4 linked regions of the Arabidopsis thaliana genome follow. The protein of the gene in region 1 binds, or shares a complex with, the protein of each later gene. Each region holds a gene or a part of one and is shown on either strand. Other genes may lie near its edges.

Region 1 (3,430 bases):
TCTTTCCTTGTACAAGAGACTGTTTCTATAGGATTCTTCATTTCCTGTTTTATCTATCTTCTCTGTGCAACGAGAGTGTCATGGCTACTCTGTCTCAAATCGTCGAGGAGGAACTTGAACCATCACTAAGAAGCAAGCTTTCAAGAACAAGTGAAACCAGTCTCGCTTCTGTCGCATCGTTATCCATGCCACTTGTTCGTTACTCTCTTAACACTTTTGTCTTAGAATGATTCAACTCTGTGGATTCTTTTAATTGATCTTGTGTGTTATCAGATTCAGGAGATTGTTCTATCAGCAGACATCAGATGTAGTGACTGCCAAGAGAAAGTCGCCGACATAATGGCGAGGATGATCGGTGAGTATATAGCTTACTTACTTCCGAGATGAGACACTTTTTTGTTCTTTCCTCTCACGCTTGTTTCCTCTGTTTTCTTGGAGCAGAAACATATTCAATATTGGTGAGTGTGTTGGAGAAGAAAGTGACACTAACGTGTACATATTCCGGTGACCGGAGAGTCTCTAAATCCTATGGTGAAGCTCTTCTCTGCAAAATCTCAACCATCAAGCGTTTGATATGTCCTTCAAGGAAACAATAACTCAGAGTTGCTTGATGTTTGCTTTTATTATCATTTTCTCTTTCCAATAAAATGAATCTTTTATGTCGAATGTGATTGGATATTGTTTAGATAAACAAAAAACTCTCAATAGCAATAATAATCATAGACAAAGTGAATTCTTGAAATGCAGAAATCAAAAAAGAGATTATTGAGAAGTTAAATTGCCGCCACTTTGTTGCCAGAGATTGATGATATCAGTGGCTTGGTTTAGAAGAATGATCATCTTCTTCTGAGAGATCCATGGTTTAGCTTCAAGAGTAGACTTAAGCTCTTCCCAAGCATCTTTCCTAGGCCAGAAGAAGTAAGGACTAAGTGGGATTGTGCCATGTCCAGGTACATGTTGGTCCAATCCTAATCCTATGTTCTTCTCCATCCACACAAACTTGAGTACCACTCTTGATTTCTCATCTGGCTTCACCACCTAACACAAACAACAAAGATTTGTGGGTTTTGTAACACAAGAGACAAGAAGATGAAGAAGAATATGTTGTTTTTACCTTTATTGTTTGTTGTGGAGTGTTGTCGGAAGTATCAATTCCGGTGACTGTTTCAGCGGTGAGTGTCTCTGGAGCTGCTAGAGTTATGATTTTCCGTTTTACAGAGATGGGTTTGGTTGTTTGGGTATGGAACAATGGAGGAGAAGCAGTGATGGAGAGTTTTGGATGTTGAGAGATGAAAGAAGAGCAGAGGGAAGTAGAAGAGAGTGCCATTGATGACATCATTTTTGTGTTTTCTCAGAGAACAATGGAGATTTTGTGAGAATATGGATAAGGAAGATATGGTCACATTTTTGGGTGGAGTTTCAAAGTAGTTTGACTATCAAATTTATGGGCTTTGTTGACTTGGCCCATCATTAAATGGGTCAAGAATACAGAGTTTATTATAAGCCCATGAATACAAACCTGAAGCTTTGAGAAGTAGACTTTTAAAAATACAGACTCTGTTTCAAGTATTTTCGAGGGACTAATTCAAAGATCTCAACATATAAGTATTAATCATATCATATTTAATTCGAATGACATTTGACAGCCACAAGTATTTATACAAAAATTAAAAACCTCATCTTTGTTTAGTGTTCATGATTTGATCAAAGTCAATAAATTTTTTTGTGTGAAATAAATTTTTGTATTAATCAAAACACAATTTTTAACAAAATATAATTATCGATATTGTACGCTGCAAGATGTCCTCAATTTGTTTTATTTATTTATCAAAAACAAATAATTGTTGAGAAAGTGGCCTTTACATTATATATGTCACATGATTCTTTTTACATTATGTCACATGATTCATCTTAAAAAATCGTCTTCTTTATTTTCACAGGTTTGCTGAGGCCAAAGAAGAGTCTTTCTTTGGACTTGAAGTAGCACTGGATAGATGAGATGAGAAAGCCTTTAAGGAGAAAGACACCATGATGGTCATTCATGAACATCATTCGATGAGTATATATAGTAAAAGTTTGAAATACTTCTTACATCGTAGTTATTATATAATGTGCACACGATATTTTTTATTTTCAGCATACAATAATTGGATAAAACAATCAAACTCACCCAAAATACATAAATAATTGTTGTTTCTCAAAAAAAAGTAGGAAAAATCTCATGTGAGGGTGGGTACACTGTGTAGGGTAGGGCTTGGCTTTTGAGCATAGTTAGGAAGTAGTAAGATGCGATGCGGTAGTAAGTAGGAGTTTCAAAATGTCACATTCACACAAGTCACGACCATGAAACTTGTCGTCTCTTTGATACTTGCAACTTCTCCAAAACTGTGGGTCTGTAATTCAATTATTAGAGTCTTGAACTTGAAGAGACTTTAAGATATGTGTGTAAATTTGTTCACCGTCACATTATTGGTCCATTTACATTACACACGTCCACTATAGTTAATTCTCAGGTTGTTTATCCATAGATATCTGTTGTTATTTCTGCGACACTTTTACTGGTCACAATGAATTATGTTGATGTTTAGATTCAACAAAAAAACTTACTAAATCGGGTAACTATGAAAAAATATTATGTAGCTGAGCCAAAAAGGTAAAGTCTACAGTTTAAGAAACATTAACACATTGAACAGAAATTAAGAAATAATATAATTCTATTTTTAATTTTTTTACTGAATAACTAATAGTCACAAAAAATCATATTACGGCCTTACCGGTCCATTTATGCATTACTGGTCCACAAATGTAAATTCTCACGTTTTAAATTCCATCTGTTTCAAAAAATTTGGACACTTTTGGTGGTTAATATGTTAATGATTAGATTTCAACCAAAAACATCAAAGTTATAAATCGGACAATTATTAAAATTTGTAATGTAGATGCACCAAATTGTAAATTTTTTAAAAAAACTTGATTATTTAGAGATGATGAATCGAAGGCATGCATTAATTGCGTAGTACAAAACAAATCTTGATAAATAGATAAATAAACATCTTTCTATTCGTAAGGACGACAAGAATCTCTCAGGTTCTGTAGAATTGTCAGAATCATTTCTAATGGGAGGTAAAATGGGATCAGTACCGGAGCAAAACACAGAGAAGCTTCTCTGGCAGTCAAGCGACGTCGCTGATAGCCGTGACTCCAAGTTCCGGTGTTGCTCGTGGAGGGCTCTCTACGAGGCTCCGGCGAAGTTGTACGCGCTGGGACATTCTGATCGTAGGAAACTTTACTTCTCCATCAAGATGGGAATTGCTTTGGCACTCTGTTCTTTCGTCATCTTTCTCAAAGAGCCGCTTCAAGATGCTAGTAAATTCGCAGTTTGGGCGATTCTCACCGTCGTTCTCATTTTCGAGTATTACGTCGGTATTGA
Region 2 (2,935 bases), on another chromosome or scaffold:
CGTCCCCTCCTGCGGATTAGTCGACACTTTTCACAAATTTTACGAACGGAAGCCCTTATTTTCATAGTTGTTATTCCTTAATTCTGTGAATATATTTATTGGTGGACGAAAAAAAGGTTTCTTGATATTTTTGAATCTTGAATTGTATCTTCGTGAAAGGAATGGTTGAAATTGAAAAAACACTTACTCATTTGAATACTTATTATGGAGTCTAGAAAATGGCTGTCCCCTTATTAACTTATACTTAAGAACTTACTCAAAATTTTACCTTTTTATCCTATAGGTATACCTATACAAAAATATGTCGAATCCTTTCAGAAGCATGAACGAAAAAAAATCTTTAGTATCTAAACAAAATCGAACCATGCCGTTCGGAAGTGATTAAGAAAGAAAACTTTTATTAATTCATTTTTTCTTTAATTTCATTCGAAGTAAAACATCCGAAACTTTTTTGAACAGGGGTGGTATTACACAACCCCCTTTTTTCACAAATTGTAAGTTACAGATATCTAATTTTTATATTAGAAGGATTACCATATATAACACAAAATTTCTCCGCCGATTCTTTTTAGTCGAGCTTCTCGGTCTGTCATTATACCTTGAGAAGTCGAAAGGATTACAATTCCTATTCCGCCTAAAATTCGTGGAATTCGTTGAGAGTTAGAATAGATTCGTAGACCCGGTCGACTTATTCTCTTTAAATTTAAAATCGTTTTGTAGGATTCTTTCTTATTTCGTCTATGTCTTAGGGTTAAAATCAAAAAATATTGGTTGTTTTCGCGATGTTTCCTTACGTTTTCGATAAAACCCTCTCGTAAAAGGATTTTAACAATACTTTCCGTGATGTTAGTCGATCCTATCCGAACCGTTCCTTTTCTATTCATGTCAGCATTTCGTATAGAGGTTATTATATCAGCAATGGTGTCTTTCCCCATGATAAGTTAAAATTCCTTATTGTTCTATAATTTTGATATAATCAACATGTTCTTTTTCTTTTATTTATATATAGATATAGACGAATTATATATTAATATATGAATTAAATTCTTAATATTTTATTATTAAGGGTATATGCGTGATACAGAATCTATTAATTAATTTTATTTCAATACCTGTTTTTTTAATCCGATACTAACTATCGCTATCGATATTTAGATCTTATAATACCTCAGGAGCTAATGAAACTATTTTAGTAAAGTTTAATTGTCTCAATTCCCGTGGGATCGCCCCAAAAACTCGAGTTCCTTTTGGATTTCCTTCTTGATCAATGACAACTGCGGCATTGTCATCATATCGTATTATCGTCCCATTGTTACGTTTGAGTTCTTTACAAGTACGTACAATTACAGCTCTAATCACTTCTGATCTTTCTAGAGGAGTATTTGGTATTGCTTCTTTGATTACAGCAACAATAACGTCACCAATATGAGCATATCGGCGATTACTAGCTCCTATTATTCGAATACACATCAATTCTCTAGCCCCGCTGTTGTCTGCTACATTCAAATAGGTTTGTGGTTGAATCATATCATTTTTTTTGTATCTCTTCTTTTAATGCAAAGGACGAAGTAAAAAAATATTGTTTGTCAAAAAAAGAAAACTTATAATCTTTTTACCCTTAAATGTTATTTAGTTTTTTCATTATATATTCCTATTCAGAAATAATGAATTGGGTTTTTATAGGCATTTTTGATGCCGCTATTGAAATAGCTTTTCTTGCTATATTTTCGGGTACACCACCCATTTCATAAAGGATTTTACCTGGTTTAACCACAGCTACCCAATACTCAGGGGATCCTTTCCCAGAACCCATACGCGTTTCCGCAGGTCTTACTGTAACTGGTTTGTCTGGAAATATACGTACCCAAATTTTTCCACCACGTCGTACATTTCGTGTCATTGCGCGTCGCCCTGCTTCTATTTGTCTAGATGTGATCCAAGCGGGTTCAAGTGTTTGAAGAGCATATCTGCCAAAACAAATACGATTCCCACGAGAAGATATTCCTTTTAGTCTTCCTCGATGTTGTTTACGAAATCTGGTTCTTTTTGGGTTATAGTTGATGGTTCTAAATTAGAAATTCCATCTCTACTACAGAACTGAACGTGAGAGTTTCTTCTCATCCAGCTCCTCGCGAATAAAAGGACTAAAAAAGCTTGTATTAAGATATAGTTAATGATTAATTCTATTAATCATGATATTCAATTTCATCTGATCTCTTCTAAATTTGTGTATGTCTTTTTCGAAATGGAATCCAAGATTAATTCTATTTATTTAAAAATAACGTAACGTAATATCATCATCTCGAATGTCGTTTTTGTTAGAATATTCTAACAAATCCTTATTTTCTTTTATCTTTTTAATTTTTGTTTTTTATTACTTTTATTAAAAAAAAAGTATTCGCCGGCGAATATTTACTCTTTCAATATCTATATTAAGTTTGTTGTTTATCCCAGGAGATCTCTGAATAAAAATAAGAATAGATAATAATCTGGTTTATTCCGCCATCCTGTCCAATGAATTACTAAGATTTATTTTTCAATAGAATCCTCTATATTCATGGGTTCCGTCGTTCCCATCGCTTCTTGATTAATCATTAGGCCCGAATTCTACAATGGAGCTCTTATATGAAATCGGGAATTTCATTTTTTTTATTTGTTTTTGAGTCAATTTTCTTAGTTTTTATTGGCTCAAGGCTCTTAATTTTTTTTGTTTTCGGAACAGATTTATCTAATTATTCTGAATGAATCTGTATTGATGCTTTATTACATTGCTTTTCTTACAGTGACCTCATAGACTTTCCAAATTGGAATAATATATCATTAATATTCAATTTTTTCTCTCTTTCTTTCATCCTTCCACTGAATCCGCATACTTTTCGATTACCTTTCATAACTTATAATTATAGTTCTTTATTCTTTTTTTTTTTCAGTTGCT
Region 3 (3,097 bases), on another chromosome or scaffold:
TCTTGCTTTTACTAATGGTGACACAAGGATTTTCAGTCCCCCGCAATTAAGCTATGTGTACCATTACCGAAGTATAATCTACTGAAGTATCAGTATCATTTTAATATATGACTTAGGTCTATGTCAATGAAAAGAAACTCAAAAGTAGTAAATTCAAAAAGTTGTGGACCGGGAATTTCTTGGATTTTATAAATAAAAGAAGACTTTCTAAGTTTGAAAATGAAAAATGATATAGATTATAAATAATTCAAATAAATAATAACGAAAAAAAGGTAAGGTGTCAACCTTTTCGGGGAGTAGAGCTGGGGATAGAGGGACTTGAACCCTCACGATTTTAAAAGTCAACGGATTTTCATCTTACTATAAATTTCATTGTTGTCAGTATTGACATGTAAAATGGGACTCTATCTTTATTCTCGTCCGATTAATTAAGTTCCATCAAGGATCTATCAGACTATGAAGTGAATAATTTTATTTTAATCAAGAAATATTATTTCTTAAACTTCGAATTGATTCACAACATTTTGATTTTGTTTATAAAAAAATAGAAATCGAGATTCAGGTCGTCATTTTTGAGATCGTTTTGTGTTACCTAAATTTATACAATATAGGTTTTTATCCTTCATCCTTTTTGATTTGAAGTTTCGATCGAAGGATTCCTTTATGAACACAAGGTAGTGAACTCCATTTGTTAGAACAGCTTCCATTGAGTCTCTGCACCTATCCCTTTTTTCGCGCTTTGTAAACTCCGGTTTGTTCGCGTAAACCAGGATTTGGCTCAGGATTGCCCATTGTTAATTCCAGGGTTTCTCTGAATTTGAAAGTTATCACTTAGTAGGTTTCCATACCAAGGCTCAATCCAATTAAGTCCGTAGCGTCTACCAATTCCGCCATATCCCCTTTTTTAGGATCTCATTATGATGTCTTTCCTTTTTTTTCTTATGCCGAAACCTCGGGATTCATTACATTATAGATACTTATTTTATGTCTTTGTTATCTTCTTTTATTTTTTTGAGCTCCATCCATATTGATTTAGTCTAATCAACAAAGATTCTATCATTTTTGTATTTGCAATTCAATATGGTTATATATTACATAACATATATATGTTCTTTTTTTTTTCATCTTTGGCTTAAATTTTCAGAAATAGTCGAACGGTCGATTCTTTTTTTTTTTTTTACTTTCATGAAAAGAAATTTATTATTATTATTATTGAAACTTAGAATTCTACAATGTGCAATGGAAAAAAATTATAAGTCTACTTCGTAAATTTGAAATTCTAATAATTCTATACTATTCTATGACTATATAGATATATATATAGAATTAAGGTTATGTTTTATTTATTTAATGATGAATGATAGTCACTATTTATGTGAGCTATATTCTGTTCTAGAATATATAGAATATCATTAATTCTAACTAGATAAGGAAAAATATTAATAGAATAGTTAATTGATACGATCTAGTAGTTTAGTGAATTTGTATGCATGCGCTATTTTATTTGAGCCCGCTTAGCTCAGAGGTTAGAGCATCGCATTTGTAATGCGATGGTCATCGGTTCGATTCCGATAGCCGGCTTTTCCATATTTTTTCGTTTTTTTTTACATGATTTTTAATGTACTTTCAAAATCAAAGAAGATTGAAAAGACTTCTTTGACCTTTTTCCAAGAGTTACCACTCCATTTATATTATGTCATATAAACTTCCATATTAGGAATATATATTGGGTAAAAGAGTTTGATCTTTGCAAAATTAATCAAGAAAATAAAGGAAAATTTTTGTGATTTAGTTGATTTATATATATTGTATATACAATAAAAAAAATCTGTATATTGAGAGAATATATCTTCTTACTCTTTGTATTCCAATAGTGGAGTGTATTTCACGTCATTTATCATTATCATTTAGTTCAGTTTTAATTTTATTTAGTTTTGTACAATTTCAATCAAAAAAGGAGTCTTTATGTCACGTTACCGAGGGCCTCGTTTTAAAAAAATACGCCGTCTGGGGGCTTTACCGGGACTAACTAGTAAAAGGCCTAAGGCAGGAAGCGATCTTAGAAACCAATCACGCTCCGTAAAAAAATCTCAATATCGTATTCGTTTAGAAGAAAAACAAAAATTGCGTTTTCATTATGGTCTTACAGAACACCAATTACTTAAATATGTGCGTATAGCCGGAAAAGCCAAGGGGTCAACAGGTCAAGTTTTACTACAATTACTTGAAATGCGTTTGGATAACATCCTTTTTCGATTGGGTATGGCTTTGACTATTCCTCAAGCGCGCCAATTAGTTAATCATGGACATATTTTAGTTAATGGTCGTATAGTTGATATACCAAGTTATCGCTGCAAACCCCGAGATATTATTACAGTGAAGGATGAACAAAACTCTAGAACTTTGGTTCAAAATCTTCTTGATTCATCTGCCCCTGAGGAATTGCCAAACCATCTGACTCTTCACACATTCCAATATGAAGGGTTAGTCAATCAAATAATAGATAGGAAATGCGTCGGTTTGAAAATAAATGAATTGCTTGTCGTAGAATATTACTCTCGACAGACTTAATAAACCTAACTTAAGTAAAAAAAAAAATTACTAAAAACAAGAGTTCGGACAACTCCCCTTTTCCATTAAAAATAAAAAGGCACAAGGTAAGGGATTTTGTCAAAGAATATTTTTCCTATTCATGTATCATAGATTGGTAGGGAGATTGGGATCCCTTGTTTGCTCTTCCCAGCATTTTCCATATGAAAGAAATTAGGAATAGAGAATCTATTTCAAAATCAAAACAAGGTAGATCTTATATCGATTCTTTTTTATTGGATTTGATACATTGTGGTCAATCACGTAAGATTGGTGAATTTGTTGAAAGTACGGAAAGAGAGGGATTCGAACCCTCGGTAAACAAAAGTCTACATAACAGTTCCAATGTTACGCCTTCAACCACTCGGCCATCTCTCCGACATCAAGATTATGACTGAGTATCTGGGTGAATAGCGAGTTATTCATCGTTTTTTAGATTATGGTTAATAGATACCCTTTTTGACCGGAAAATTTGGAAGTAGATAGAAGGTTTTTTTTAATGAGTCCG
Region 4 (2,454 bases), on another chromosome or scaffold:
TATGCATCATTCTCATACCGGTGGCAGCTTCGAATAGATCATATACAAATTCTCGTTCTCTGAAAATATAGAAAAAGGGAGTCTGTGCACCAATATCTGCCATAAAAGGGCCGAGCCATAACAGATGAGAAGCTATACGACTCAATTCCAGCATAATTACTCTGATATAGCTGGCCCTTTTAGGAACTTGAATATTTCCCAATTGTTCTGGTCCATTTACTGTTATTGCTTCTGTAAACATAGTAGCTAAATAATCCCATCGCGTTACATACGGTAAATATTGTATAATTGCTCGGTTTTCTGCAATTTTTTCCATTCCTCTGTGTAAATAACCTAATATGGGTTCACAGTCAACAACATCCTCACCATCTAGAGTAACAATTAAGCGAAGAACACCATGCATGGATGGGTGGTGAGGTCCCATATTGACTATCATAAGATCTTTTCCTGTAACTGGTCTCTTCATAAGTTTTTCCTTGATTCGTTCTGGCATGAATTAGATTTCTGAATAAAGAAGTTTATCAAAAAATTCAAGATCTAAAAAATTCACTAATTCACAATTTTTGAATTTAACGAGTTTTTAATTCCCGAATATTCAACTGATTAATTAATTCTTTATAACGTACTCTATTTTTTTTTGACAAATAAGCCAGCAGTCGTTGACGTTTTCCCAGAATTTTTCGTAGACCCCGCTGAGATAAATAATCTTTTCTGTGCAATTCCAAATGTGAAGTAAGTCTTCGTATCTTATTAGTGAAACTAAATACTTGAAATTCAACGGATCCCCTGCTTTCTTCTTTTTGTTCTTCAAATGAAATGACTATATTTTTTATCATAAAAAGAAATCCTTCCCCTTTTAATATGAATTGAAAGATATTAATTTTACTGATCAGTAATAATAATGGTAGTTTTTTTGTACAAGGATCTTAATTTAATTATCAACCTCTTAATTCTTCATTTTAGAAAAAAATCTAAATTTAGATCTCAAAAAGAAGGATTCTGTTAATTTATTTATGAATCCGCTATAATTGGTATCTATGTGATTGATTAAATTAATCTCATGTATAAAGATTTAATTTAAAACAATCCCTCATATTTGTGCATATAGTTGTTTTCATATACCGTAACTTATTATATATAGTAAAAAGTATTTATGATTAAGGAATTGGAAATCGCGTATACATGCGTATTCTTATCATACTGAAATGATTTCCGTTAGTAGTATTAAACCAATAGCGATTCATACAAGCTAAATCTTCTAATTTAAAATTGGGCCAAAGAAAGGATTTTAAATTAATTAAGTTATTTTTATCCTTATCAAGATCAAGATCTTTCTTTTTATGCAAAACGGTGGTCAAGTTTTGAATATTCTTATCAAATCTTGAATTTGTATCCCTAGCATTTTTTTTTTTTAAGTTGAAACAAATTAGAATTCGAAATTCTCTACGTCGTTTAGGGGATAGAATTTTTTCAGGGACAAAGAAATCATAATTATTTTTTTTTTTATTTACAGTTTTGTTTTGATATTTTGTAATGGATTTTTCAAAAAATTTTTTATTAATATAGCTTTTTTTTTTGTATCTTTTACTTATTTTGTGTTTATTTTTATGAACCAATGAAATACCTATGGTTCTATATATAATAAGTTGTCCATCGTTTTGTACAGACAAACGCACAGGTTCAATAATCAATATTCCTTTTTTCATTAATTTTGCAAAAGTGAAATTTTTCTCAATCATTAGAATGTCTAGGCTCATCTCTCCTCTTTCAATAGAAGATACCGCTATTTCGTTTGGATTGTTTAGTCTAACCAAGAGACAGTATACTTTTACATTATTGAGAATTTTTTGATTAAAAAAACAATTCCATCGCAATTGAAAACGCGAATATCTTGTCAGAAATAAATCAAGTTCCGCTTCTGTATTACTTTTGTATTGTTTTTTATTTTTACGTTTTTTTATTGTTGATTCTGCAAAATTTTCTTCAATATTTTTTTCTTGGTTTAATCGAGCTGCTTCGGGATTTCTTTTTGTTTCTTTATCTGATTCAAGTTCTACTTGACCGGCCGATTCTTTTTCTTCTTTATTCAGATTATAAAATCGAAGGGATTCTTTTTCATTTGATGGTATAAAACCTTTTTTCTTTCGAATGATCTTTTTATTAACATTTATGTTTTCATTAAAATTTAAAAGAAGTAATTTGATTGGTATGACCCATGGTTTCATTTTATATGTACTAGAAAATAAGAAAAATTCCGGAAAGAAAAAAAATTCAAAATTTGTTATACGCTGATTTAGTATTTCTTCATTCATTCCCATCCAATCAAAAAAGTTTCTTTTTTTATTAGCAAGATCCGTCTGCGTTATTTTATCAATTTTTTGATAATTCTGAACTTTAGTATTAATATATTTTTTTTTACTCTTAGTATCAACCCAAGGCTCAATAGTTACTTTT

Evidence for each region.
Region 2: PSRP3/1 (region 1) and rps8 share a complex: the UniProt entries of both Arabidopsis thaliana proteins name them as parts of the 30S ribosomal subunit.
Region 3: PSRP3/1 (region 1) and rps4 share a complex: the UniProt entries of both Arabidopsis thaliana proteins name them as parts of the 30S ribosomal subunit.
Region 4: PSRP3/1 (region 1) and rps15 share a complex: the UniProt entries of both Arabidopsis thaliana proteins name them as parts of the 30S ribosomal subunit.

The regions. Positions count from the first base shown.
Region 1 is NC_003070.9:25,756,831-25,760,260, forward strand, and holds PSRP3/1 (Ribosomal protein PSRP-3/Ycf65), read right to left. Parts: upstream 1,582-3,430; 5' UTR 1,340-1,581; coding exon 1,115-1,339; intron 1,039-1,114; coding exon 763-1,038; 3' UTR 597-762; downstream 1-596. Other genes in the region: AT1G68585 (uncharacterized protein), read left to right, coding at 81-194, 274-355, 442-596; AT1G68600 (aluminum activated malate transporter family protein), read left to right, coding at 3,117-3,423. UniProt on the Arabidopsis thaliana protein: Component of the chloroplast ribosome (chloro-ribosome), a dedicated translation machinery responsible for the synthesis of chloroplast genome-encoded proteins, including proteins of the transcription and translation machinery and components of the photosynthetic apparatus.
Region 2 is NC_000932.1:79,538-82,472, forward strand, and holds rps8 (ribosomal protein S8), read right to left. Parts: upstream 936-2,935; coding exon 531-935; downstream 1-530. Other genes in the region: rpl36 (ribosomal protein L36), read right to left, coding at 1-65; rpl14 (ribosomal protein L14), read right to left, coding at 1,159-1,527. UniProt on the Arabidopsis thaliana protein: One of the primary rRNA binding proteins, it binds directly to 16S rRNA central domain where it helps coordinate assembly of the platform of the 30S subunit.
Region 3 is NC_000932.1:44,697-47,793, reverse strand, and holds rps4 (ribosomal protein S4), read left to right. Parts: upstream 1-1,965; coding exon 1,966-2,571; downstream 2,572-3,097. UniProt on the Arabidopsis thaliana protein: One of the primary rRNA binding proteins, it binds directly to 16S rRNA where it nucleates assembly of the body of the 30S subunit. With S5 and S12 plays an important role in translational accuracy.
Region 4 is NC_000932.1:122,727-125,180, forward strand, and holds rps15 (ribosomal protein S15), read right to left. Parts: upstream 837-2,454; coding exon 570-836; downstream 1-569. Other genes in the region: ndhH (NADH dehydrogenase subunit 7), read right to left, coding at 1-466.